Linked DNA regions of Drosophila melanogaster. The protein of the gene in region 1 interacts with the protein of each later gene in a pairwise test. Each region holds a gene or a part of one and is shown in the gene's direction. Other genes may lie near its edges. The genes, in order: CG10508, CanA1, Prm and CG16721.

Region 1 (7,818 bases):
TGACACTCATGGATTTGATAAAGTCGATCAGGCGCTGATTGTCCTCAGTGAGGCGACGCTTCTCCTCCAGCATCAGCAGGTTTTGAGCTTCGGCCATCGCCTGGCGGCGCCAGAAGTTCCTGAGACTTTTGTTTAGCTCCACGAGTTCCTCCTCGGTCATGTCCACGTGATCTTTCAGGTTGAGAGTCTGCAGCTTGAAGTATTCATCGACATCCACCTCGGTTTCGTCGAATACCTCGCCGCCGAGGATTACCTTTTCCGATTCGGTTTGCAGTTTCCTGCAAGTGATCGACAGGGCCAAGAGTAATTCCCCACTTTTCACGTGCTTCTCCATTTGCTGGAATAATATTTCAATTTAGAAATGGGTAATAGGGCTTGGGACAAAGGTTCACCTTGGTCAACTCGTAGCACTCGCCGGTCAGGATGCGCAACTTCTCGTGCGTGATCTCGCGATCCATCTCCTGGTTGAGCTCAATCTTCTTGCGCACGTTGGTGAAGTACTGGAACTCCAGGCGAAGATCGTTGAGCGTGGAGTTGTTCTCCGCATCCATGCGAACCATTTCGCGCTGCAGTTCCGCCTGCATGTTGATGTACTTGGACTCCTCGGCGTTTAGCTTGCGTGACTCCTCCATGAAAGCCGCCTGCCGCTCCGTCAGCCAGTGGATCTTCTCGTACTTGTGGGCATCCAGTTCGGTGCTCCTCAGCGACTCCACGAAGTCGTTCAGTTGCTGCTGCATGTGCGTCATCCGGCGGACAATCTGATCTCGAATCTTAAATCTGTTCTCAATCTCCGTATTCACGCGATCGTCGCGCTGCTCCAGGTAGATAGTGTAATCCTCCTTCAGCTGATCCCGGGTGGTGATGTTGGTGGCATGGATTATGTTCTCGGAGTTCGTTTTCATGGCTTCCACCTCTTCGGTGCGCCGGCGCACCTCTTCATAGTAATCCCTCAGCATCTCGTCAGCCTGCTGGTCATACATGCTCTTCACCCCGCCCAACATCACGTGGAAGCAGTCGCGAATGTGATCAATCAGCTCCACCGTTTTGCTGTAGCAACGCACGTGCTGATCCTGCGTCTGCGCCATGTCGTCCAGAAGCATCTTGATGTGGTCGTTCTTGGCCTGAATGTTACGTTCCGAGCGCTCGCCCCAAGCCCTCATCTCCTCGTTTAGCTCCTTGATCTTGATTTCGCGGCACATCTCGTGCCACTCCTCGTTGCCTTTCTCCTCCATATGCTTGCCCATCTCCAGCTCGCGCATCAGGGCATCCTGAGAGGATCATGGCGCAACATTAGAAATGATGCGTTTACAATTTTAATATAGTCTTAATATATTATTTTTATTATAAAAATTAATAATATTAAGGATTTGCTTAGGTTCATCCTTAATAAAAACTCTGCGAAAGTTAGTTGAACCCACCCGCATGATGAGCCGCTTCTCCTCGATCATAGCCAGTCGCTTGGCCTCTTTCTTGGCGGCCTTCTTCTGAGCCTTGGTTAGTTTGGGCGGTCCTTGTGGCTCCGGCTCCTCCTCCAGTTCTTGGAGGTAGTTTTCCGAAACACGCGTCAAGCGTGCCAAGATTTCGGCCATTTTGCCGATGTGTAGTTGTAGCTGAACTAAATGCGTAAATCAAAGGTGAAATTTTTGGAAAATTGACGGGGGAGCTAAATTCGAATTGTGTGCCTGTTTGAAAGCTGAATCGAAGTTTGGCGCACAGCTTTCGACGGGCAAATTCCAACACTGGATACCAGCTTTTTTAACGACTATTCGCACAGCATCTGAAGCTTTAACGCCCGCCACTGATTTCCTCAGTTGACTCTCAAAGCTTGGCTCGCGAGGTTGTTTATAGCGTCGCGACTCCAGGATTCCCCAAAAACGATTCCTTTCCGGGTAGCTAAAGCCTGGCTGGCTTGCTTACTAACGGCACGCCACATCGAACTGTGTGTGTGTGAGCGTGTGTATCTGTGTGTTGCGGTCCTTTTTCCCGGCAGGCAGTGCCTTGTAAACAAAAATAACTCTGCTGCCGAGGAGAGGTTGCCATCGAGGGTGGTTACAACCCCCAAATCTGAAACATCCGACGACAAAGGCAACTACAAAGCTCCGCGCAGGATAAGTGGCAAGGGCACTCCTGCCTGCCAACTTTTCGGGGTTGCAGACAGTCGGCAAACAAGCTGCGAATGCGACTTTAAACGTCCATAAACATTCAGGCAGAAAACGAAAATAATAAAACGACGGTCGTTCGGTTTAACTGGGCATCGAAGCGCCTCGCATCTGCAAGTGCAATTGTTACTGTATCTGCATCTGTATCTATTCGTGAGCGGTGAAAATGAGCGAATCCGGTGGCTATCAGAAAATGCCGCCCGGCTGGGACTGCAAATACGATCAAGCAACTGGAAATTGGTGAGTTGCATGTGCACAGCCCGACGTCATAAATATTTATGCATCCATTAACCACAATGTCGTGAAATGCGGACTGTACTGGGAGATGTGGTGGCCAGTTGTGGGATATAGGGGTTCCATTTGATAGGTTGCCACGGGGGCAACTGATAAATTTGCGTGCCAACGTCGCTTGGGGTGGCTCTTTCGGTGGGCGAAGGATTATGGTTGGGTGTGTGGTTGTGGGTGTATGTAGGGGGCCTTGGGGGCGTAAGTCGCTTACTTTAAAATGATTGGGTGGTAGGCGTCCGGTTGAGGTGGTGTTTGCCATGTTTGGCCTTATAGTGATAAGGAAATTATTCGTTAGTTCGGTGGCTTGCAGAACTTAGTTTTGAAACACCTTTGGTATTTAAACTCTTAGGACGCAAGCTCGGTACTAATTTAAATTATTCATTTAACACACAATGGAACGAAGTACAAGCTTGGATTGGATATTGGCTAACTTTTCTTCAGCTTATAATCGAAAGAACTTTCTAACATAAAATTTTCAAAATGTTTTATGTTTGAAGAAAATGTTTTAATTTAAATTTAAATTATTATTACTGATACGCAAAACAATTTTACTGAACTCTAAAGACCCAGCGTGTGGGTACCATGTGGTTCCCTATGGGCTACTTAGCTTAGTGCTCCTTAGCCACTCCAATTGGCCTCGTTTCAGCGGCATAAATTGTGTCACTTCCGCGTCGTCGGATGCCAGCGGGGTCTTTAACATCTCCTTAGCCTATCATACATATATACATATAACTTAACCCCTTATGCTTAAAAAGCCATGTGCAATTAAGCAACATACGTTGTCATACGTTAATTCAAGAGGCCACTCAACCGAAGACGAGCTTTCCATCCTCACGACGTCCTCGTCGACATCCACCCTCTCCATTCCGAAAATCAGAGCAGAGATGGCCTGTCAAACGACGATGAAAATGACGACTGTGCGTCCGCCTTTTGGCAGCTACTTGGCACGTGCCTTGGTTTAGGCGGTTCCTTCACCCTTTACCTGTCCGTCCTCCCAAGGGACCATCAACATGTGGGGAGAATCCCAAACCAATCCACTCCAATCCAGTCCACCACCAACCGGCCGGCTTTAGGATGTGCCTCCACCCTTGGCCTGAATCCAAGAGCTTTCGAATGGCCCTGGGTGGGAGGTCATTTGCTGACCTTTGATTTGATAGAAGCTCATCTTCCATTCGGCTGCCCTTCTTCCCGTTCCAGCTATTACATAAACTATCTGACGAAGGCCATGCAGCTGGAGGATCCGCGCGGCCGCAGTTACAGGCAGTTGCAGAACGAACGCTGTTCCACGGAGTCGATAGCCTTGCAGGTAACCTCCGCTTCCTACCCTGCATTTTATTGATTTTTTATTCGAATGGGAACCCTTGTACTTTTCAGCAGTTGGTCAGTCAGCCGCAGACGTCGCACAACAGCTCGCCGTACCACGTCCATCCCAGCAACAACTTGACTGCAATTCGGGCCTTCCAGGAGCGCCAGCAACCCACGCTGCACAACATCTCTACCAGTCCATTGTTGTCGGCCTCCTCCAGGGGACACTTGGTGAGTATGAAATGACCTGAAGATTGATTTTGATAGAGAAACTACAGCCATAGTTGGCAATCAATAGGCAAATCACGTGTGGGTGCGCATCGAAAAATCTGTGAGCATCATCAAAAATGTGCATAAGTAGGTCGTTCTTTCGCACAAAAAATACGCAATTACCTTCTGATATAGTGATTACAACAAGATATCCTGATTGTAGATACTTGTAAGAGGCTAATAATAGATAATTCAAATAGGCTGAGACCTTCAGGAAATAGTTGTATGTTTTTTAAGTTAACAAACATGAAATTCCATGAGTAGTATCCGAAGCCCCTTGCTTACTTTGCGTTTAAGTATCGATAATTGGTTTGAATGAATTTTTTATTAATTAATTTTCCACCTAACCCGCAGGAAATGTCTTCACCTCTGCCCTTTCAACGAGCTCGCGTGGGACCGAATCTCTCGCGGCGCTCCACCATTCAGGAGACCTCGTTCACCACGCAAGCGGAAACGGATGCCGTGGTGACCAAAATCCAGAACATGTTCCCCACCGCTGGCGAGAACCATATACGTCTCCTGCTCAAGCGGTAAGAAATTGGTCCCGACTTCAGCTAAGCGCTCGTGCCAGCTCAGCTGGCGTACTAATCTGCGTACTTACATCTATGTCTTCTCACACGCCGCCTAATTCTGCTGCTTACTGCACCTGTCTAACCCCACGACTAAACGCTAATCCCACGCTTACTAACCCACCACTCCAGCTACTACAATAGCGAGGCGGTTGTCGTCAGTGCGCTGCAGGTGGAGAAGCACCCGGTTACCATGCCCGGACCCTTTGTGACGCCCCCTTCGCAGCGGCACCTCTTCCACAGCGGCTCCGCCTTCTACATGACGCCACCGGCACGTCGGCCGGACACGGTAGCTAGTCGGCGCACGTCGCGCACGGCCAGTCCCCTGCCCGGCGGACGCTTCGGTAGTCTCGTGAGCGTGCAGAGCGGTCCTGGTGGTCCAAGTGGCCATCAGGCTGTTCTGCCTCCCAGCTCGGCTGTTCCGCCGGCTCTGCACGGATCGCCCCTGTGGCGCAGCTCGCCCAGGCCGCACTCGTCGCCCAAGATGAAGCTGAGGTTCGATGGGGTTCAAAATCGAGGGACATTTCAAAGCATTGTTGGATTGCTTTAAAATCTGTGTTAACCAAAAGATCGGATTTAATCTCTTACTTTACAGTTTTTTATTTTTTGCTTGTAACAATCTATTAAGGGTTATTAGGCTTGGGTTACTTATAAAAAGTTCTGTATCTTTTAATATAATTCGTTGGTTTTAAATTGGTGTTTTGTTAATGTTTTGTTGAAACATTTATTTTATATAATCCAAGGTAACATATTAAGTGACAAATTTTTAAATTCTCGATGTTGTAACATAATATTCTTTTAACTTAAATTTTCTTCGATGATAAATAATATCCAAATTCCACCATAGATACATGAAGAATATATTCCCCAAGGCGGACGAAGAGCTGCTTCTGGATATCCTGGCAAATGCGGATAACAACGTGCAGTTCGCATCGGAAAAGTTGATTTCTTTGGGCTACACAAAAAGAGATATGCAACAGCCACACAGACCCAACAATCGCCCGCCGGACCTAAATCAAGATCAGGAGGCTGGAGGGGATCAGAGTGGTGTACATATACCGCTGAGACCCAAGGAATACACAGAGGAAGAGAAGACAAAAAGTAGGTTTTAATTGTACACGTAAAACACTTAAATAAACATCTTTTACTTACAGTGCAAACTTTGCTTAAGGAGAAGTACCCACAGATTGCCGAGCGCATTATCCTAATGGCTTTGGAATCCGTCAACTATGCAGAGGATAGGGCTACGCAAATCCTACAAATAGTCCAGGACGAGGACGAGCAGAGGGAGCAAAAGCAGGCTCCCATGAATCCCAAGCACCTGGATCTTAAGAAAACCACAGGAACCGAGCAGATCGATGGTGCCAACGAAAAAGACAGGTAGCCCTTGACTTTATGTTTTCCCGCTCACGCGAATAAAACCAACCGATCAAGGTCGTTGGCACCCGCTTTTTCCACCCACTCAATCAAGTTACTCTCTTTGGCTCGCTGCTTTATCCGTTTTTTAATCGACTGCCTATTTTCTATGTGAACTTTCTTTGCTGCCTCCGCCTCTGACTAAATCCCCGAACCAAAAAAACACTATCCGCTTGCCTCGCGCCACTTGATCATCCAGCCTGCCCGCCGTGGTGGAGCCCACCACTTCATCCAAGCCGAAGCCGCCGCACAAGCGCCACATTCTTCCATCGATCAATGTCACCACTCCATCAACGTTCACCACCCAGATCATTTTGGCACAGGCTACGCCCACACCAACGCCCACAGCGGAGGAGATGAAGCTGGAGACCCATCTGTCATCCATCTCTAGTGCTTCCTCATCGCATTCATATGCCTCACCCCCACAATCACCCCGCATCTTCCAGCAAAGCTACGAACGCCTGACCACCAAGAGCATTTTGGCCAAGAGCGGCCATAACCATTTTGGCCACCAGAGCGATACCAATAACTACAGCATCGACGGCTACCTGCATGGCTCCTCAAATGCTAGCTCCTACTCCTCCTACTCCGCATCAATGACGTCCTCATCGCTGGTCTCGTCGGCCCAGTCCAACTCCTCATCCATCGCGAGGAGGCCAGCTTTCGAAAGTCGTGCTCGCACCAAAACCGATTCACTGAAGTATGCCCGCTAAAACCAAAAACCGTTCCGATAACCGTTTTTTTACCGTTTCGCTAAGTAAAATCAATCGTTTTGCGCATGAGTTTTTCAAGGAGTTCGCATGGATAGTATCGGGAAATCCGTTTTTGAGATATTATTTTTGAACCTGTTAACTATATTCTTTCGGCATGCCTTAAGCTCAATATAAAATATTAAATCTTTGAAATATTTTAGTTTAATATAAAAAGAACTTTTATACAAATTTAACCAATTCTCAACAGACATCGTCAGCACTCCCTTGGAAATTCGCATAATTCGGAATCAGCTGAATTTCAATCTATTATCGAACGAATGGCCAGTTTGGGACCCAATTCCCAGCTAAGCAAGGGTGCAGATGAAAATCTTTTGCTGTAAGTAGTTCAACTTAATGTCGAAGTAATAAAAACAAAGACTCATCTATGAATATAATTAAAATTATTTTCAGAGCCGATTATGTCACCTGGAATGGACCCAACACGAAGCTTCTTCAAAAGCAGATCACTCAAGGACCTAATGCTAGTCTTCTCACAGATCGCACCTATAAGCCAAGGGGTGGGAAATCGGAACTCTGCAAAGGACCCCAGTCCGGATTGGCGAAGGGCAGCATCTACGCCCAAGGCAGCAACAAGAGCGCCAACATCAAATGCAACTAGGCGGGAGTATCTCATCTGGAACCTCCCCCAGAGTGCCAAAGAAGTGAAGATGAATCTTAGTAGCCAAGCACCACCCTCCACATGTTCAGACTTACGATTTATATATGTCGTAGTGTTTTTTGCTCTTATCCTTAAACACCTACCAAATACCACACGAGTACGTAGACTCAACAAAAAAAAAAAAAAAAAAAAAAAAAAACGAAGTCACATTCCATCCAAGCTCCAATTGTTTTTAGTAACTCGTAAATAAACAAACTTTAAAACTAACAAACTTATTTAATATTAATGCGCGTCTGGAGAAAGGGGATTATGGGGATTATGGTACAAAAAGCACATGGGTGTAATCTAGACCTCGTCCTCGTTAAGGAGCATGTTTGGTATACCATCGCTGATGGGAAACACACGACCTGTCTCCGGGCACTCCAGTTGACCCTCGAGCA
Region 2 (7,613 bases), on another chromosome or scaffold:
TAACTCTAATTTGCAAACAACTATTCCACGCACTCAGTGTTTAAACAATAAAGTAGAGTAGTAAACCATACTTAAATACCTATTTAAATGCCAGCACAAACGTATGATATTTTTGAAACATATTAGTGATTGAAAATATATAGTGACACTTATTGAGCTCTTCTATTCCTCGGCGACACTTTCGAAAGTTAAATACCCCGTATTGCCATTGGATACCCCAAGAAGGATGGGGGGCTGGACTGGGCTGAGCTGTCAGCGCTTTTGCCAAAATTTCGCGTTGGGAATGCAATGCTCTCATCGGTCCGCCCATCGCACCCCGCCGCACCCCTTACTGAGCACTTACAGCCCCCTCGAATCCAATCCCACCCACTGGTTAGCACCGGAAAGTATTTCTTTCTAGTCTGCGGCGGTCGTGTGACTCGCTTTTGTCTCTCTGCGACTTGCGAATACGCGGGGGCGTCCAAGTAAAATCGTCTCCGCTCTTTGCCAAATCGAAAATCCAAGTGCCATCGATGCGCATTTGGCTGGCAGCGGGTGCATTGGCATTGCAATGGATTCCGATTCGGAGATTCCGAATGTGATTCCGAGTGCCCGAAATCGGGCGATCCATCCTTCCCAGCATATATTATGGAACTGTCTGTCTGTCGAGCGATATAGCGCTTCCCCAGCCAAATCGTACTACATATCAATTGACCATCGCGACAAACAACATTGACGGGGCAAAACACACATATTGTTTGTGGCTGTGTTTTTTATGTGGCCATCCCCATCCCCACACAGATAGTTGCGCAAATATTGCCACGCTTCGCATAAAAGTTGCATGAAATCGGTTCCACCAGCGAAGCATTCAAATGAAAAGCAGAACCGCGAATGCGCTATCAAAATATATATAAAAATCAACTTACTATACTATATTGAATGTACTACCCAAAAAACTGTATTTATTTAAATTTAAATCGTTAGATAAAAGCTTTTGATTTCTTATGTTTTTTAATTTTTTTTTTTTAATCAAATATAAATCTTATCCGAACCGAAACACCCCCTTTTAATTGTAGATCGCATATATTTTTGCACGAGGCGCGCACAAAGTCAAGACTATAATTATAGCGACACCCACCTATTGGCGCCCAATTTCTGGCAAACACACACTCGCGCTCAATCACACACAAACACACACACTCGGACGCACGCACACACAATCAATATCACGGTCAAGTTGAAAATCATTGAGAGCGGATGTGGACATGGAATGGGGCATGGAGGTGGAAATGAGGATGAGGATAGAGATGGGGATGGGGGTGGACATATCACAGATGTGTAAATGTCTGTGAAGGTCGAGCAGTCAGTCGCCCAGTCGACGATCGCAGAAGGGCAGTGATACGAAGAAGAGACCAGAGTGCGTGTGTGACATTAACCCAATAAAATAAACAAATAGATGGAACCCTACGAGAGCGTGGTGTATTCTTATTTATATTTTCATTTTCGGCGGAGAGTGGGAGTCAAGGGCGTGAGATCGGCCGATCACAGCCGATCTTCTTCGGGCTTTCAAATTGGGTCTTCTGAATGCCAAACGATGCCAGCGAATTTCGCTCAGTTTCGAGGAAAATCGCGTCGCGCCAACTTGGGAAATGCGTTGCGTCGTGTCCCGTGAAAATCATCGCGACTAAGGCCCCGAGAATCCCCAAAGGATTAGCCCGAAAATAATAACAATAATCGCAAGCGGCAAACGGCGAACTGCAAACAAAGTGTGACCAAAGTGATATATGTGTGTGCCTGTCTGGCCGTCTCTTCGCAAATCCATTGCTATTTTCGTTGTCGCTCGCTTTGTGGGCAATTAGCACAAAGTGTCGAGCAATTTTCCGTCTCAATTGAAGTGCTGCTTACCCTTTGCCAAAAGCATCCGTTAAACAATGTGATGACTTAATGAAAAGTTAATACGTCTCTGAATAATTGCAGCAAATTGAAATATTAATTGTTCAACATTTGTTTCGTGTGCGCTGCGGGCGAAAGTTGTCTCTATCTCGCTATATTGGCATTGCCTGGCTAAAAATACAAGAAAGTCCACAGCTATACAAATTATAACAACAAGTTTTATTTATTGCCTAAATATATTTGTGTGTTTTGTGCGCTTCTGTGTTGGTGTCTCGTCGTCCATAAAGACGCTAGGCAAAGGCGTATAATTATCTAAATTCCTGTGTTAGTAACACTTTCAGCACCAGCAAACAGTCAAGCCATTAAAAAATATATATCGAGCTAAGGCATCGCAAAAATCAGCACCAACAGAACGCAGAAAAATTAATAAAAAAAAATAAAAAATTTAACAAAAAGCAGGGGCCGAATAAATAATCAAGCATCATGTCGGCGACCTCCACGCGAAGTTCGGTGACGAGGAAATCATCGCTATCAAAAAGTTCTAGTTCAGACAAATCGGCAAAGTCCTCGTCGAATTCCTCGAAATCTCCGACAGCCGCCAGTGGAAACAAACAGAAAATGCAGTACACAAAAACCAGGGAGCGCATGGTCGATGGTAATGATCTCTACTCTCTATAAGCACTACGGACCCCAATCAAGCATTATCCCAAGCACGATTCCCTACTGCGATTGTATCTTTAATGACATGCGATCATGCTTCAATGGCATTCCAATGTGCTGACCGCCGTCATTAATGTCAAAACTGAGGGTTTCACAAATTATTTCCTTTGAACATTTCAGTCGGCGGAGGCAAGCGTTTCGAAAAGTGTGTTTTGAGAATTGGGAAGTCATGCTTGTAATTTTCAAAACAATAGCATGGCTGCACCTTCTCGAGGAGCAGTACATCGATCGTTAAGTTTTCATGTTTAAAAACTAATAAATGGACTTTTGAAATGGAAACAAACATAGAAAGGAAAACATTTTATAGCTCATGTAAATTTATCTAATTTCAAAAAATGTTCTTTGAGCAAGTTTCAATCGATTTATTTTACAGACCATTTTACAATGCATAATTGCTTATTATGCGCATTATTTATACATAAATAATTTACAGATTTTTAATAACCCATATATTCCGATGCAACTGCCATAAATGTGCTTTTATTAATCAATTATTCGGCATCGTAACTTAAAACCCTTAACTGAAAATGCGGTACTCGCTTTTGTTCTTTGGTTTATTGAGTCCATAAAAATTAATTTAATTATCTTCGAGCACCCATAACAAGCAACAACTGCAGTACATTGGCATTTTATTGGCCATTGCGTCAAAATTCAAGACATTTACCCAAATTATGACAATTAAAAATGGCGTTCGCCCTGACGTTTCGATGTGTGTGTGTGTTCGATTACGTTTGTTTGTTTTGTGTGTGCCAATCAATTTTCGACTTTTATATTCACTCAGTCAAATTTTGTAATTAGCGTACGAATCTCATGTGGCTGCATCTGGCGGAATTTCGGTTTTCTTTATAGCCGGGCCAAGAAAAGCGGCCAAACCGAATGAATATTGGCGCTAAGTTGCAGCACCTCGTTAACCCACATCGCCGTCGGACAGCGATGTTTATTATAATTCTATCAATGCAAGACTACACCGAAAAAAATTCAGGGGAACTGTAACAATACGAGAAACCCCATTTTCAAAGAGATGTTCCATTCACGTCATATAAGATACAAGATACAATATATAATTAACAATTGAATCCAGGGGCTTCTTCTTCTGGAAATGGGTGATAACAATTTACTTAATAATCTTTACTTAATAATTTGATTAATTTCTTTGTTACTCCCCTAGATGTTCCACTTCCGCCCACCCACAAGCTGACCATGTCGGAGGTATACGACGATCCGAAGACCGGAAAACCCAACTTCGACGCCCTGCGCCAGCACTTTCTGCTGGAGGGGCGGATCGAGGAGGCGGTGGCCCTGAGGATCATCACCGAAGGAGCCGCCCTGCTGCGCGAGGAGAAGAACATGATCGACGTGGAGGCACCCATTACCGTGTGCGGTGACATCCACGGGCAGTTCTTCGATCTCGTAAAGCTCTTCGAAGTGGGCGGCCCGCCGGCCACCACTAGGTACCTTTTTCTAGGCGACTACGTGGACAGGGGATACTTCAGTATTGAGGTGGGTCCATATGAAAATTGTATCTTAACTTATCAGGAATATATACTGCGTTTTCCATTTTTGTATTAAACGGTCCACTTAATTTCAGTGCGTTCTCTACCTGTGGTCCCTGAAAATAACCTACCCCACCACGCTTTCCCTGCTGCGAGGAAATCACGAGTGCAGGCATCTCACAGAGTACTTTACCTTCAAGCAGGAATGTAAGTTGGACTTAACTGAAGTTAATGCCAGAATTTGCTAGTTATGAGAAAGTTGATTTGTTTCCCGTTGATATAGATAAACTACAAAATGAGCAAACCTGCATGCCTCAGTCACTTTACGAACTTAATGCGCTTTTAAGTGCGAATATGCATGCTATAAATCTCCTTCCGTCGCTAATTCATTAATTTTTCTCTGTTGAAGGCATCATCAAGTATTCGGAAAGTATTTACGACGCCTGCATGGAAGCGTTCGACTGCCTGCCCCTCGCCGCCCTCCTCAACCAGCAGTTCCTCTGTATTCACGGCGGTCTGTCGCCCGAGATTTTCACACTCGACGACATCAAGACGGTAATAAAGCAGCGCTGAAATGTTTACAATATAATGCATCTGTGCGGATTTTCTCAGCTGAATCGCTTCAGGGAACCACCGGCCTACGGGCCCATGTGCGACCTGCTCTGGTCCGATCCTCTGGAGGACTTTGGCAACGAGAAGACCAACGAGTTCTTCTCGCACAACTCGGTGCGCGGGTGCTCCTACTTCTTCAGCTACTCGGCCTGCTGTGAGTTTCTGCAGAAGAACAACCTGCTGTCGATAGTCAGGGCGCACGAGGCGCAGGATGCGGGGTAGGATCGGAAGTACCATGGTGTAATATCCATATGATTATCGAACTCCTTCCGCTTCAGGTATCGCATGTATCGGAAGAACCAGGTTACGGGCTTCCCCTCGCTGATCACCATATTCTCCGCCCCCAATTATCTGGATGTTTACAATAACAAGGTATGAGATAGTTCCACCTCTCTCCCTCTGCTCACCCTGCTCACCCTATCTCTTTCTGGGTTGTTTATTTATCTTGCTGTTGTTGTTCCTGACTTTGCTATTTTTAAATAACGAAATCTTTTTTTGGCTGCATTGCGAGCTGGTGCGAGTTTAAATCGCGCTGCGTTCGCAATACCCTCTCTTCCATCTCTTTCTCCGGCACTCGCCCCGTCTCTTTCTCCGCTCGCGCTGATTTTGTCAACCATCGAACCCATTTGACAAAAGGCAGCTGTGCTCAAGTACGAGAACAACGTGATGAATATCCGCCAGTTCAACTGCTCGCCACATCCCTACTGGCTACCCAACTTCATGGACGTCTTCACATGGTCGCTGCCCTTCGTGGGCGAAAAGGTGGGTTCGCACCCAATCGGGTGGGATTATCTATGTATTTTGAGTTCAGTGATGGAACTAAGCCATAATACTCGAACTAGAACTTTCAAAAGTGTCTGAAATCTTTATACGTGATTTTAATATCCAATTTACCATGCCATTCAAAGGTAACCGAGATGCTAGTCAACATCCTGAACATTTGCTCAGACGATGAACTGGTGGCCGGACCCGATGACGAGCTCGAGGAAGGTAAGTTTGGGGATCCACAGAGCGATTCTGTCCGTACTAGACTGTGTGTCAATGTCGCAGTGCTTTGGATGTTGTGGGGCCAATACGGATACACGTGAATTACAAACTAATCTTCTATTAAAAATATTTTCCGAAACCAAATATCGAAATACGACAACTGCAATCTACTACCAACACCCATAATAATTTCTGTACCAACACCACCACCAACTTTCCACTCAAAACACGTCCAAAACACGACCAAAAGAGCTACGCAAGAAAATTGTGCTCGTGCCGGCGAACGCGAGCAATAATAACAATAACAATAATACGCCCAGTAAGCCAGGTAAGCCAGGTATTAAACGCAGGCCCAAAGTGAAGCCAAACAGTACCGCCAATGCAAATGCCACTGCCATTGCCACTCCCACTGCCAAAAATAAAAATGCCTGAGCCAACGAAAATCGCCTGAGCGAAGATAGCGAAAAGCTTAGTTATTGCCTTGCGCCCTGCTTTGATCGGCTTTTCAGCGAGTTTTCCAGCTGATTACCATTACATTTACCCCGTGACCCCGCGAGATTCCGTCTAATCGAGCCCTCAATTCGCAGCTTCCATGTCGGCGCTGCGCAAAGAGATAATTCGGAATAAGATTCGGGCCATTGGCAAGATGTCGCGCGTCTTCTCCATCCTCAGGTGCATAATGCCTCCTATAATCCCGTGGATTCAGCTAAATAATTCAATATTCCCACATCCCGCAGGGAGGAATCCGAGAGCGTGCTCCAGCTGAAGGGTCTGACGCCCACGGGCGCCCTGCCAGTGGGCGCTTTGTCCGGCGGAAGGGATTCCCTCAAGGAGGGTAAGTCAACACACATAGGTATTCTCAGGATCAAATTGATGTAATGCGTGTAGGGACTTTGAATTATAACATATGCCTTATAAATTAATCAGGATATAGTTCCGTACACTTTGACCACAGCCCTCCTTATGTCGTAGGCCATCCAATTTGTTTCGTATAGGTAATCCCCTTCAGGAACGGGAAGGACCTTTGTCACCTGGTGATTAACGAAGTGTATGGGTAGTTTTTCGATCACGAGATCGTGCTGTATAGAAAACCAGAAACATAAGCACAGATCGGATTTAATTAGGGATATACGCACATCGTAGGGGCAGTTGTGATTCATGTTGGTGAAGGGCCTAATGAAATCATAAAGGTAACTGGCTATCGGGTTCGACTTTGTGTTGTTCATGAATCTACATGCATCCAATGTGATATTGAACATGAAAGGTCTATAGCCATTATATCCATTAAATCGTTTGAGAATTACTCCGTTGATCTGAGAAGAGTAATTGTAGAAGAGAAAATGTTGTTAACCAAATTATTTAAATACCTTGACTTTGGTAATTGGCGTTTTAAATAATTTTGCTTTGATCGACACATACTTGTAGCTACGATTAACCGACTTTATGTAGCAATACTCAAAGTCGGAAAACTGTTTATCCAAAGAATTGCACATGATATTTGTGAACTCAAATTTCGATGATATCTGAGGAAGATTTTGAATTGATTCGTATTATACCTAATATTTTAATAACTCTTACCTCAACTATTGAAATTGAAAGAGCCAAAAGCGCCACTAAACCACAATGATTTACACCCATCTTTCGATATCGACTAACCAGTGTAAGTTGTTTACAGAACCCTATTAATATTCTATTGAATCAGCAACATAAAAACAATTTACAAAGCAATTAATAGCTCCACCAAGCCAGAAAATCATAATGAACCCACATTATAATGAGTTTAGTATAGTTTTTGTTATCAAAAAAAATAGTTTTTAGTGTCTACTAAAATACTTTCACCACAACTCAGTCGATGTCGTAGGCAATCCAGTGGGTTACCAGTTGGTAGGCTCCTTCGGAAAAGGGCAACTCCTTTGTTCCTTAATGGTT
Region 3 (4,615 bases), about 12 Mb from region 1:
CGGAGCAAGAAACTGCTCTAATATATAAGGATGGTTAGCCCATCTAGAGCTCTAGATGTGTGCGTCAGTTGGCCTCAGGTGAAATGTGTGTGGAAAATGAACACGATTATGAGCAAGCCGAGAAAAAAGGCACAAATAACACGAAATTCGGTTGCTAAAAATAAGCGAAAATTCATTTTTAAGTATAGTTAGGCAAATGTGTGTTTGTGTGTGGAGCACAGGTGGAGGAGATCGCTCGAAGACGAACGAGAATTTTCACTCGAAAAGCTTCGGTTCCTTTGGAAAAGTGAGCCAAAAATCGCCGAACGAAGCGTGTTCGCAATGTAACAGAAATTATTTACACAATATGTATTTACTATGGGGGCACATGGAGAGACCCGTCAGTTGCCAAAAAGATATAATGCAGAGACAGTCATCTACGTGACCATTGAACAACAATTGTTAGATGACATCGCATTGTCTGAGGCTGAGCAGACTGCTGTCCGCACGGCCAAGGATTCACTCAAAATTGTATATTTTTGTTTATTTCGCACAATTTTTTTTCACACACTCTCTACGTCTATTTATTTATGCTGGCGAATAACACGTTTCGATGCCAAAAGTCAAGTATTTTTAGAAAACATTGCTGTAATCCTAATTGGCTGTTAGCGAATAATTTAGAAGGCATATCATAGAAAATTTTGACACTTTTATGATTTTTCTGCTTGTGTAAAAATGTTGTAATACCCCTGAGATCTGTATAGCATATATATTTGGGCTCTATATTTGGCTGGGGTTTCATGCTCTAGCCTCTTTTCTTTTTGATAATAATATATGCTAAATCAATTTGAAATCAATCGATTCAAATATTTACATATATAGTCTCTAACGCTTAAATGTATTCAATATTCTAGATGTTCTAATGTTCTAGAAACCGTTTCCAAAAGTCAAATCATTCTATTTAAGTTTGCTCCCAGAATTATATCTCAATCTTTATAGTCTAGGGACTACGTGCTGGAATACTGGTTTGGCACTACCTTTTAAATAATATCCGAGGCCCCTGAACCAAGAAAATGTGCCAATAAATATAAATTATGAACTTTATGATCTGCAGAGGATGCCAAATATTTCAACATGACTTATATGTATGTACGTTCGAGAATTGGGAAAATTTATGTGTAGATACATTCTGGCCAGACGCTAGATACACAAAATGAAACGCACAAATGACACAGGCTAATTACAGGTAAGCAATAGAAAAGAAAAGACAAGAAAAGCAGGCGTACTTCGTGTTTTTGAGTTTATTTTCGTAGGGGGCAAGCTCTCAGGCAAACTAGCGTGAAAATGCGTTCACACAAGCTTCGGCCCAAGTGAAATGAAAAATCAAAGAATTTTCCACACAACTGAGCAATTAACACAACAACACGGCCGCGTGAAAAGTCACTCGAAAGTCCCACTCACATTCACATAGGTGGTGGTGGTGGCTTATAGATATATCTCAGGGTATATCCCACTCGGATCCGATCGGCGGGGAGCCGATGGCGCCCGACGGCGACCGAAGGCTCCCGAAGGGAACCGAATAAATCGTTGAAATAGACGAATTCAGCTGGCAGGCCAAACCAATTCAACGAAATACTCTTTATTCGAACGACAACGGGATCTCTTGTTCAGTAGATCACCAGCCTTACTCCGACGTTTATTACGAATTTTCTCGGTGACTCGGTGACAACTACAAAACTGCGTGCGGTGCTGTATAGATTTTCGCTTGAGAGGAACACACAAATCATAATACTAGATACGCGAACCGATCGCACATTAATTTATAGAACCAAAATCGAAAATCTGACCTAGCAAACATGTCGTCATCGCAGGCTGTCCGCTCCTCGAAATACTCCTACCGTGCCACGTCCACCGGACCCGGTACCGCCGATGTGAACATCGAGTACATCCAGGACCTGAGCTCGCTCTCCCGCTTGGAGGTAAGGATCCCGTCCCGCTCCGTCTCGGAATCTCGAATTCGAATTCGTAATTGGAAGCGGACCGGTATCGTTTAAGAAATCGGCATCGTATTGGGCACCAAATCCCCAAAAAGACGTTGGAATTCCGACCAGGGAATAGGAATACGAAATGCGTGTGCGCCAAATTTTCTTCAAAATCTACGAGAATTTCTCTCTCTTGTTTCGGTGTCTGTGTAGAGACTGAAAAAGAATCGGAATATAATCAAGAAAAAATACGAAAAACAAACTAAGAAACCCGAAAAATTCATCTACACTCTATATCAAATGCACATATATACCGTAGATATATATTCGTGTGTTAAGTTCTCGGCGCGTTCTTGTGTGTGGAAATATAGAAAATTCGGTGAAGCAAAATTCTAGATTTGTATATGTATCTAAACGTGTCTGTATATACATATGCATTGCTAAAAAATTATGTAATGGCCACCTCTGGGCAATACATATACACGAGAAAACATCGAAGAAAAATTTGTGAAGAAATCAATCAACTGTGCTGTAAAGTGCTTTTTAATGAATGTTTTAATCAAATAATATGAAATAACGAGCCCATAAAAGATCAAACTCAATAAATGTATCCACCATTTTCTTGCAGGACAAGATCCGTTTGCTCCAAGATGATCTTGAAGTTGAACGTGAGTTGCGCCAAAGGGTGAGTCATTCAATATGGAAATATTCATAATTTTAAATATTTTTAAGTTATTTTTGAACCGAGTATTTTTAAGGTATTACTATAGGTTTCTTTGGAATATTTTTGAACATTCTTAATTTATTGAGAGCATCGTTTTTAGTCAATAAGATTATTTGCTGATGAAATCGGCGTCAGAGATATGACATATCCGAGGAAGTTAGAAAAGATCAGACCGCATTCTCCGAGACCCAATGGAAATCAAAGCGCCAGGGAAAACCATTTTTACTTTTTTCACCTCGCAAATGTCACCCTAAAAACAGCAAAAATATGTGGAAAGCCAAAATAAAATCAAAATAGACCAAAGTAGCAGTAGCGATAGAACCGATAGAAAAGTCAGCAAACAAATGCAAATCTAAGAATAAACTACCCTTCGTAGAGTTTCGAAAGTGTGAAAGTAAATGATAATGATGTGCATTGAACTTCAATCGCTTTCGTTTTTGGCTTTTCCTTCCCTGCGGAGCATTGATAAATGATTTTTCCCCTGACTTTGCAAAGACAGCGGCCGCAAAGACAGCAAAGTCAGGAACAGCCAGAGAAAAGTGGGAAAATTCGCAGGCCGAAAGTGCACTTCATTCAGCGCAATCCTCTTGGGCGTTACAAATTTAGAAAATGCGAAGAGCTCTTGCCGGAATGGAATGGGCTGGCCAGGAATGTTCTGAAAATTTTGTTAAAAAATCAAATTTAATTACTTTGTGCCTTATGGATTAGCACGCACTCGCACACAGATACAACGCCCCCCAACACACACTCACAATATATGGAACAAAATGGCTAAAATTAGCGCACGACATTCAATACAGAGAAGCGAATGATTAACTTGAAAACAACCAAAATATGAGCAGAGAAGAAAAGAAAATAAAGTAGCCAAAAAGTCATCATCATCACCATCTTCATGATCAGCGGCGGCAGAGAGGAAAATTCGCTCGCTCACTACGGGAAAATCTTCGCTTTTTGTCTGTGGGCGTGTGTCTGTGGGAAAATTAAATAATTTTCATGCACATTAAAAGTCTTCACACCGCCTGGCATTCTTTCTACATATCCACATATGCATATATAGGCGGCAAAAACATGTATCTACAAGATACATATGGCGCAAATGGATTTACGGCCCGTACTTACGTGGCCTTTGTGGCAATCGGCAACTTTTTGTTATGCCAAATGAACGGACAAACACATGTTCGCCTAGGTATTATCATAAACATAAATGTACAAACATATTCAGCGAGAGATTTAAAAGAGATTTATCAGACCAATACGTTCTTTATTTAAGCTTGGGGCATTTCAGTTAGCTGAATTTTTTATGATTGCTTCGGACAGCTCCAAATACCAGAAATCCCAATGGCCGCACATAGCTTTCATAAAATAGCATTTAATTGCAATTCGCAAAATTGACCAAACGAGGTCGTCGACAAAGGCGAAAAGCAAATGTTTAGATTCCGAGGGAGCCAACAAAAAATGTTTCTGTTCAAGCGAAAAATGTTCGAATGCCTTTTTGGAAATGCAATCTAGGAAAGCGGTGTGCGGCCGCCCACAAAAGATATATACGCATATATAGACGCATATATCGTGGATGCAATCGGACTATGGCTACACCTCTGCGTGGAAGATTTCTTGGCAAGATGCCATTGTTATTTTAGGTGTTGCATGTGCATAATTATTTTTGACTGATTAATGTGATTTATAATTTTTATTATGGGCTGTTTGAGTAGCCACAGAGCATGGCTAGCGCAGGGTATTTATAGATCCTTCACATTATACCAAGTCGCTAATGAAATCTCTTCTTAATCTCTGCTTATATTCTTCAAATTTCAGATCGAGCGCGAGAAAGCCGATCTCAGCGTTCAGGTCATTCAGATGTCCGAGCGTCTCGAGGAGGCCGAGGGTGGTGCTGAACATCAAGTGAGTACCATGTGGTAAACCAATATTGCAA
Region 4 (5,701 bases), on another chromosome or scaffold:
GCGTGGTGGTCTCGTTGCAGGAGTCACACTTGACATCGCTCAGATCCTCCGATGTGATATACTCGCTAAGCAAGTGGCCCAAACTCAAGCCAGTTCTGCGTTGCGGCGGCAGATTTAGCGTTATGCTGTCGAACTTATCGTACCGAACGGCCGACTTGGAGCCGCAGCCATTGCACACGATCTGTGCGCCCATGGCGCCCTGAAACGGATGCGCCACTTGGCTGGGCATCATGTTGGACCAGATGGACACCCGACCTGGTCCGCGATGCAGGCGCTCTAGCGATCGACAGGAGCTGGACACCCGGCGATTCAGACCCTCATCCTGCTGCTGTTGGGATTGTGGAAGTCGCGGTCGCGACGAACGCTCGCCGCCCAACATAGGCGTAGCCAAGGAATCCGGATTGCTGACGAGCGGAAAGCCAAAGGGTGTCCCTGGCGAAACGGCATCCAGAAGCACGGATCCCAGGCGATCGTTTCCGTCGCGTTCGCAAACAGAGGCAGGCGAATCCGGTGTGTGGGCCTCGGAACGCACCAATCGCTGCAAACTGGTGCTCTCATCATACTCCATGTTTAAGAAATCAGTGAGCATGGCACTGGAGGGCCGGTTCGGTTGATCCCCGATCCTCTGGCTGGCTCCCAGTCCCGCTGCCATGGAGCTAAATGATCGAAAGCCCCCTACTGGCGTTGCTGTGCCTGCCAAGCTGCTGTTATCATCGTTATCCGTGGGCAGAGCATCCGACAGACAGCCGAGGGGCTGTGGTCGTATGGCCTCCTCCTCCAGGCAGGTCAATAGCACGTGGAACAGCTCGTGGGCGTCGTGCTCCTCCTGTGGAATCACCCAGCCCAGGGCATTCAGAGCCCGGAGAACGGCTCCCGGTGAATAGGGATCGCCGCGCAGAGTGGCATGGGTGCCATTGACCACTTCCAGAGTGTTTAACATCGACGTAATTAAGCTTTTTCGATCCGGCGAGGCGTTGTTGTACAATTGCAGCCAGGCAATGAACTGGGGACAGGCGGCCATCGCCTGTAGCAGGGTGTTTAGGAAGCAGGTCAGTCCAAAGTTGTGGAGACCGGCAATTTGGCCGCGTCGTTGACGCAAACGGGAACCTGCAAATGTTTCGCTGGAGTAGGGAACTACGCCATGGAAGATCTACTACTCACCCGAAGGACCCCAGAAAACGAAGGCTCCGACTACGGCGGCTACCGTCACTCCGGCGGCCATTAGAATCTTCTCGCTCTCCATGGCTTGAGATTTCCGATGGCTGGTTTTCCGGTGCAGATCACTGCGGTACCGGGAACTCCCAATCCCGCCGCCAAAATCGCACACAGACTAACTCTAGTTAGGAATTTAGACCGAAAAAATTTTTGTGTCTCTTGATGTGTTGCAAAGCGATTCAGTTGTTAACACCACAACGTGCGGCCATTACGCAACACTGGCGCGCAATTATCGTTAAATTTGCAGAGAAAATCAAGTATTTTAAAATTCAACCGAATCGTTGTACATGTGAATGTTTCTACTATAAGCATTAAACAAACATAAGTTTGACAGCTTAAATTTGTAAACGTAGAATATATTTCCCATACTATTGTATCGTCTATCGATAGCGACGATTTGATCAACTTTCGATAGGCACCTCGAACAGCTGTGTGGAAAGGGGATTGTAATAAAGGAAAACAAAGTAGGCACAACAACCAAAGTTTTCAATCGAAACGGAAACATTCGGATATCAGTCGTCGTTCTTAATAGTTCAGATTAGAATAAAAATCCTCCTGGAGGAGCATAATTGAGTGAAAATTAACTGCAAAATTTGTCTGTGATTGTGGAAAGTGAATCAGCTGTTTGGGAAAAGTAAAACGGAATACTCTGGAACCTTCTCGTCGTTTCTTCCTATTGTAAGTATTCGGATTGGCTTTCATCTTGTTTTAATGCAGCCACTTTGCATCGTCCTTGTGTCTATTTCCCAATTTTCCAATTTTCCCCAGCTGACTTGCTGCGCAATAGGAAAAGCAACAACAACGAAACATAAATACATACACACACATACACACACTCGCATGGACCTAATCGCTTCTGTTTTTGTTGCTACTTTATTGCGCCGTTTGTTTATGTCGTCTATTCGCTGCGTGGCCGTTGTGCAATTTGCTCCCATTTTCCACATTTAATTTTGGAATCTGTGCCACGCAGCTTGCCAAATTACATATTCTAGAAAATTTGAGAATTTTCGAAAGTGTTACATTTTATTTCCATTCAAATCTTTTGCGCCTTCTCTCCTTGTCGCACATTCATACATGCAAGCAGACGCGCACTTGTTTGCTCATTTGTGTGTGTGTGCGAGTCACGTTTAACGGGTTCCTTCCGTGTGTTTGTTTACAGTGGGTATTGGCTAATACCTATTTCGAAAATAACAATTGAAACACTATTTTTGGTTGAGAAATATGCGCACACAGCAACAGGTTATTGAAAATTGGTTATGTGTTGCAATTATAAACCTAAAAATATTTTCCTGCCAACTCTTCTATATGAAAATCGATACTAATATGAGAAACCGCATCAAGGAATATGGAAGAGTAACTTGTATCTTGCGATCACTGTATCTAAGACCCCCTTTCTTTCCCAGGCGAACTGACCCCGAGCGGAGCTTTAGCGACGACCTCGAACAAAGAACAAAGAAAGCCCGAGTGCAGTTGCCAATTGCCTTGTAATAATCACCAAGCCATATATACAACTGGCTCTAACCGGTGGTAACCAAATTCGCATTTGGTCGAAACCAGTTGCTGCAGCTGCCTAACGTCGCACTTCCGCCCGTGAGGAGACAACAAAGGACTGGAATTTGAATATGGATGCCCAGGAGAATAGGAGTGAACAGTCGGGACAATCGGGCGACCACGAAGAGCACGAGGAGCGCCGGATCCGTACGGACAGCGAGAGTTCCGTGGAAAGCATGACGCGTTTCGTGCTGCCCAGCTTGGATGGTACTCCGCCGAAAATTGTGACCCTGGACGAAGTGTCCAGCATGTTCAAGAATTTGCGCAACATGGAGCTGGCCCACGAGATAGCCCTCAATCCGGACTTCAAGCTGCAGAAGTACGAGCCGCCCTCGGATAGGTGAGCATGTGCCAGCAGCAGCCCTGTCAGGGAAACCATTCAATTAACATTCCCATGTCCACAGTTTGGAGGGCGCCATCAAGAAGATGGTGCACAAGGCCTTTTGGGATCTGCTGCGTGTGCAGCTGGACCGCCAGCCGCCATCGTATGATCAGGCCATCCGGCTGCTGGCTGAGATCAAGGAGTGCTTCCCGCAGCTGCTGTCGCCCAACAACGAACGTGCCCTGGCCCACATCAACGAGGTGCTGGATGACTCCGTCATCCGCCAGCAAGCGGAGCGGGGTACCCTGGACTTTCGAGCATATGCCAACTTTGTGATCAACATCCTGTCGCGATCCTGTTCGCCAGCTAGGGACGAAGCAGTGGCCGCTCTGCGCAAGATCGACGATGTGGTGGACACGTTTCGCTGCATTCTCGAGCTGATGACGCTGATGAAGCTGGATATGGCCAACTTTATGCTTCGACTGGCGCGCACCGAAATCGCTGCCAATTCGGTGCAGTATGAGAAGGAGAAGTTTAGCAAGTACTTGCGCGAGTTCCATGGAAATGGTGGGTTGTTGGCCAAAAAAAAAACTACAATGCCTTTATTTATTGGGAATGCCATTATTTCCAGTTGGTTTTCCGGCCACTGAGGATTGGCTGCAGCGTCACCGGTCCGGTAGCAGCGATGATGAGACCATTTACAATGCCTACATGCAGCTGATTGACTATCCGGCCGACAAGGAGTTCCCGGAGCTGTTGCGCATCGACAAAGAGCGCTTCGCCGGCCTAAGTTGGCGAGCCCAGCGCTTGATCCTGTGCGCCTCGCTCATCTCGGTGGCCCAGGGCATGCCTATCATATCGCAGCGCCGCGAGAACCGCATCAAGCTGGCCCAGCAGCTGGACATCATTGTGCAGGACATCAAGAACCAGGAGTGAGATACCTCGTGCTCTAGCCGAGCGCTGTTTTAACCCTTCTTCAACCTCAATTCACAGCCAAGTGGCCTCTACCATTGAGAGCTGCTACGAGCAGATTCGCTCCTTTGTGAACAAGGCCCTGGAGCAGGAGAACTTGCCTGCGCTGAGTGATGCCGACCAGGCGGCGCTCAAGAACCAGGTGCTTAAGCTGGCCAACAAGACGTCGCCGGTGCCCAGTTTGATGGGTGAGTTTACTCGTTTATGCAATACAATGTATTTTATATTCAATTCACGTAAATCGCTTGCAGCCAAACGATTGGATGGCTATGTGCGCGTAACACTGCGCTCCAATGGCAGCATTCCGCCGCCGCCCTCAGGATTCGCGGACTACCAAGAGGAGCTGGTTGCATTTATCGCCTCGTTCCGTCGTCTGGTGTCCTACAACCACGCCGTGTTCGGGGAGCACTTCCACCAGATACTCAACAAAACGCTGCCCGGTGAGGAAACGGAGGCTACCACTTCCACGGCCAGTGGCATAAATCCTGGCCAGGCTCAGACTGCCAAGCCTTAGGTGGATTTGTCTACCGTCTTAGGCAACACAAGATACCAGTATACAACACTCAGACACACCTGTAGGCGAACAACAGATCTGGCGGAGATCTGCATGATGTTAGGGCAACCGGAGTGGCGGATAGCATCTTCCGTGTGGAGGAGGAGGGATTCCGCATTCCGCAGCTGCTTTCCCATGTGACGTGACACTTGCGTAGAAAATTTGACGCACGCACCCGTAACCACCAAGTAGAAATGAGTACTCCAGATGCAAATCCCCCTGCAAAAAAGCCAGTGGGATCCGAGGCATCTGAAAGGAATCAAAAATGTGCTGGAGCGTCTGTGATAACAAGAATATTCAACACAAAATTCAAATTTTTGGGGGTTAAGAAAAGTGAACTCGTGAATTATGTGTGCTCCTCAATTTTCGTAATGTAAACCCCCTCTTTATAGTACATACATATATATATATATTATGATTATACACGTGTACCCTAACCCCGGACTAATCCTATATCTTAGACCTTTGTGACCGTAACTCCCATTGAATTTATTTTGATTGTTTCGATTGATTAGCAGTGTTTCGACTGAATCTTCACGAATATATCTATACCTAGTTTACCGAAATTCAAAGTAAATGAATTCAAGTGATTTCATCTTTTTGGTGCGGAAGGGAAAGGTACATCATCTAATTTGTGTGATGTGATTGGATTTTAATTTTGCGAATTAACGAGAAATTATTTAAAATATGCGACATCGCTATGAATTTGAATCTAAGAGGTTGCCAGATCGGGGTAAAATGTAGAAAGTCCGCCAGATGGCGGCACAGCATGAAATAGTTCGCTAGATGGCGTCTTGCTAACGGATTTCTATTTCGTACCAGATTCGAATTACATTTCCATTATTTAAGATTTAATTAATGATTTGGTTACCCACTGATTCCAATATAATAAATTCAGTGAAATAGGTTAAATTTTAAATATCTAACAACTGGCCTTGTCGACATTAAAGCCCATGACCTCGCCTCGCATTCATTTGCAATTTTAGTTTCGTTTTCGGTTTACATTTTCACCGATTTGCCTTCGCAATGGATTACAGTATAATTCGCTTAGCTGCATCGATAGTTAGCTGCATCGGCAAGATATCTGC

Evidence for each region.
Region 2: the proteins of CG10508 (region 1) and CanA1 interact in a two-hybrid assay, tested with the Drosophila melanogaster proteins (one large-scale study listed by BioGRID).
Region 3: the proteins of CG10508 (region 1) and Prm interact in a two-hybrid assay, tested with the Drosophila melanogaster proteins (one large-scale study listed by BioGRID).
Region 4: the proteins of CG10508 (region 1) and CG16721 interact in a two-hybrid assay, tested with the Drosophila melanogaster proteins (one large-scale study listed by BioGRID).

What each region holds. Positions count from the first base shown.
Region 1 is NT_037436.4:21,208,406-21,216,223, forward strand, and holds CG10508 (uncharacterized protein), read left to right. Parts: upstream 1-1,809; 5' UTR 1,810-2,325; coding exon 2,326-2,399; intron 2,400-3,644; coding exon 3,645-3,753; intron 3,754-3,821; coding exon 3,822-3,983; intron 3,984-4,376; coding exon 4,377-4,552; intron 4,553-4,723; coding exon 4,724-5,086; intron 5,087-5,356; exon of another isoform or gene 5,357-5,438; coding exon 5,439-5,692; intron 5,693-5,745; coding exon 5,746-5,971; intron 5,972-6,206; coding exon 6,207-6,707; coding exon of another isoform or gene 6,708-6,720; exon of another isoform or gene 6,721-6,909; intron 6,910-6,967; coding exon 6,968-7,096; intron 7,097-7,170; coding exon 7,171-7,378; 3' UTR 7,379-7,646; downstream 7,647-7,818. Other genes in the region: CG10510 (uncharacterized protein), read right to left, coding at 1-337, 393-1,268, 1,419-1,589; Trmt112 (tRNA methyltransferase subunit 11-2), read right to left, coding at 7,724-7,818.
Region 2 is NT_033777.3:31,037,784-31,045,396, forward strand, and holds the start of CanA1 (calcineurin A1), read left to right. Parts: upstream 1-1,590; 5' UTR 1,591-1,765; exon of another isoform or gene 1,766-2,201; 5' UTR 2,202-2,355; coding exon 2,356-2,527; intron 2,528-3,760; coding exon 3,761-4,092; intron 4,093-4,180; coding exon 4,181-4,292; intron 4,293-4,494; coding exon 4,495-4,640; intron 4,641-4,697; coding exon 4,698-4,915; intron 4,916-4,975; coding exon 4,976-5,069; intron 5,070-5,333; coding exon 5,334-5,459; intron 5,460-5,605; coding exon 5,606-5,687; intron 5,688-5,934; coding exon 5,935-6,012; intron 6,013-6,271; coding exon 6,272-6,356; intron 6,357-6,421; coding exon 6,422-6,519; intron 6,520-6,607; coding exon of another isoform or gene 6,608-6,763; intron 6,764-6,820; coding exon of another isoform or gene 6,821-6,997; intron 6,998-7,057; coding exon of another isoform or gene 7,058-7,207; intron 7,208-7,262; coding exon of another isoform or gene 7,263-7,322; intron 7,323-7,511; exon of another isoform or gene 7,512-7,613. Other genes in the region: CG33920 (uncharacterized protein), read right to left, coding at 6,608-6,763, 6,821-6,997, 7,058-7,207, 7,263-7,322. UniProt on the Drosophila melanogaster protein: Calcium-dependent, calmodulin-stimulated protein phosphatase which plays an essential role in the transduction of intracellular Ca(2+)-mediated signals. Many of the substrates contain a PxIxIT motif and/or a LxVP motif.
Region 3 is NT_037436.4:8,742,306-8,746,920, reverse strand, and holds the start of Prm (paramyosin), read left to right. Parts: upstream 1-1,610; 5' UTR 1,611-1,835; coding exon 1,836-1,958; intron 1,959-2,589; coding exon 2,590-2,646; intron 2,647-4,497; coding exon 4,498-4,584; intron 4,585-4,615. UniProt on the Drosophila melanogaster protein: Paramyosin is a major structural component of many thick filaments isolated from invertebrate muscles.
Region 4 is NC_004354.4:5,878,216-5,883,916, forward strand, and holds CG16721 (uncharacterized protein), read left to right. Parts: upstream 1-1,653; 5' UTR 1,654-1,893; intron 1,894-2,318; exon of another isoform or gene 2,319-2,454; intron 2,455-2,603; exon of another isoform or gene 2,604-2,618; 5' UTR 2,619-2,837; coding exon 2,838-3,106; intron 3,107-3,170; coding exon 3,171-3,655; intron 3,656-3,719; coding exon 3,720-4,020; intron 4,021-4,081; coding exon 4,082-4,248; intron 4,249-4,264; exon of another isoform or gene 4,265-4,311; coding exon 4,312-4,574; 3' UTR 4,575-5,176; downstream 5,177-5,701. Other genes in the region: Usp30 (ubiquitin specific protease 30), read right to left, coding at 1-1,107, 1,162-1,243.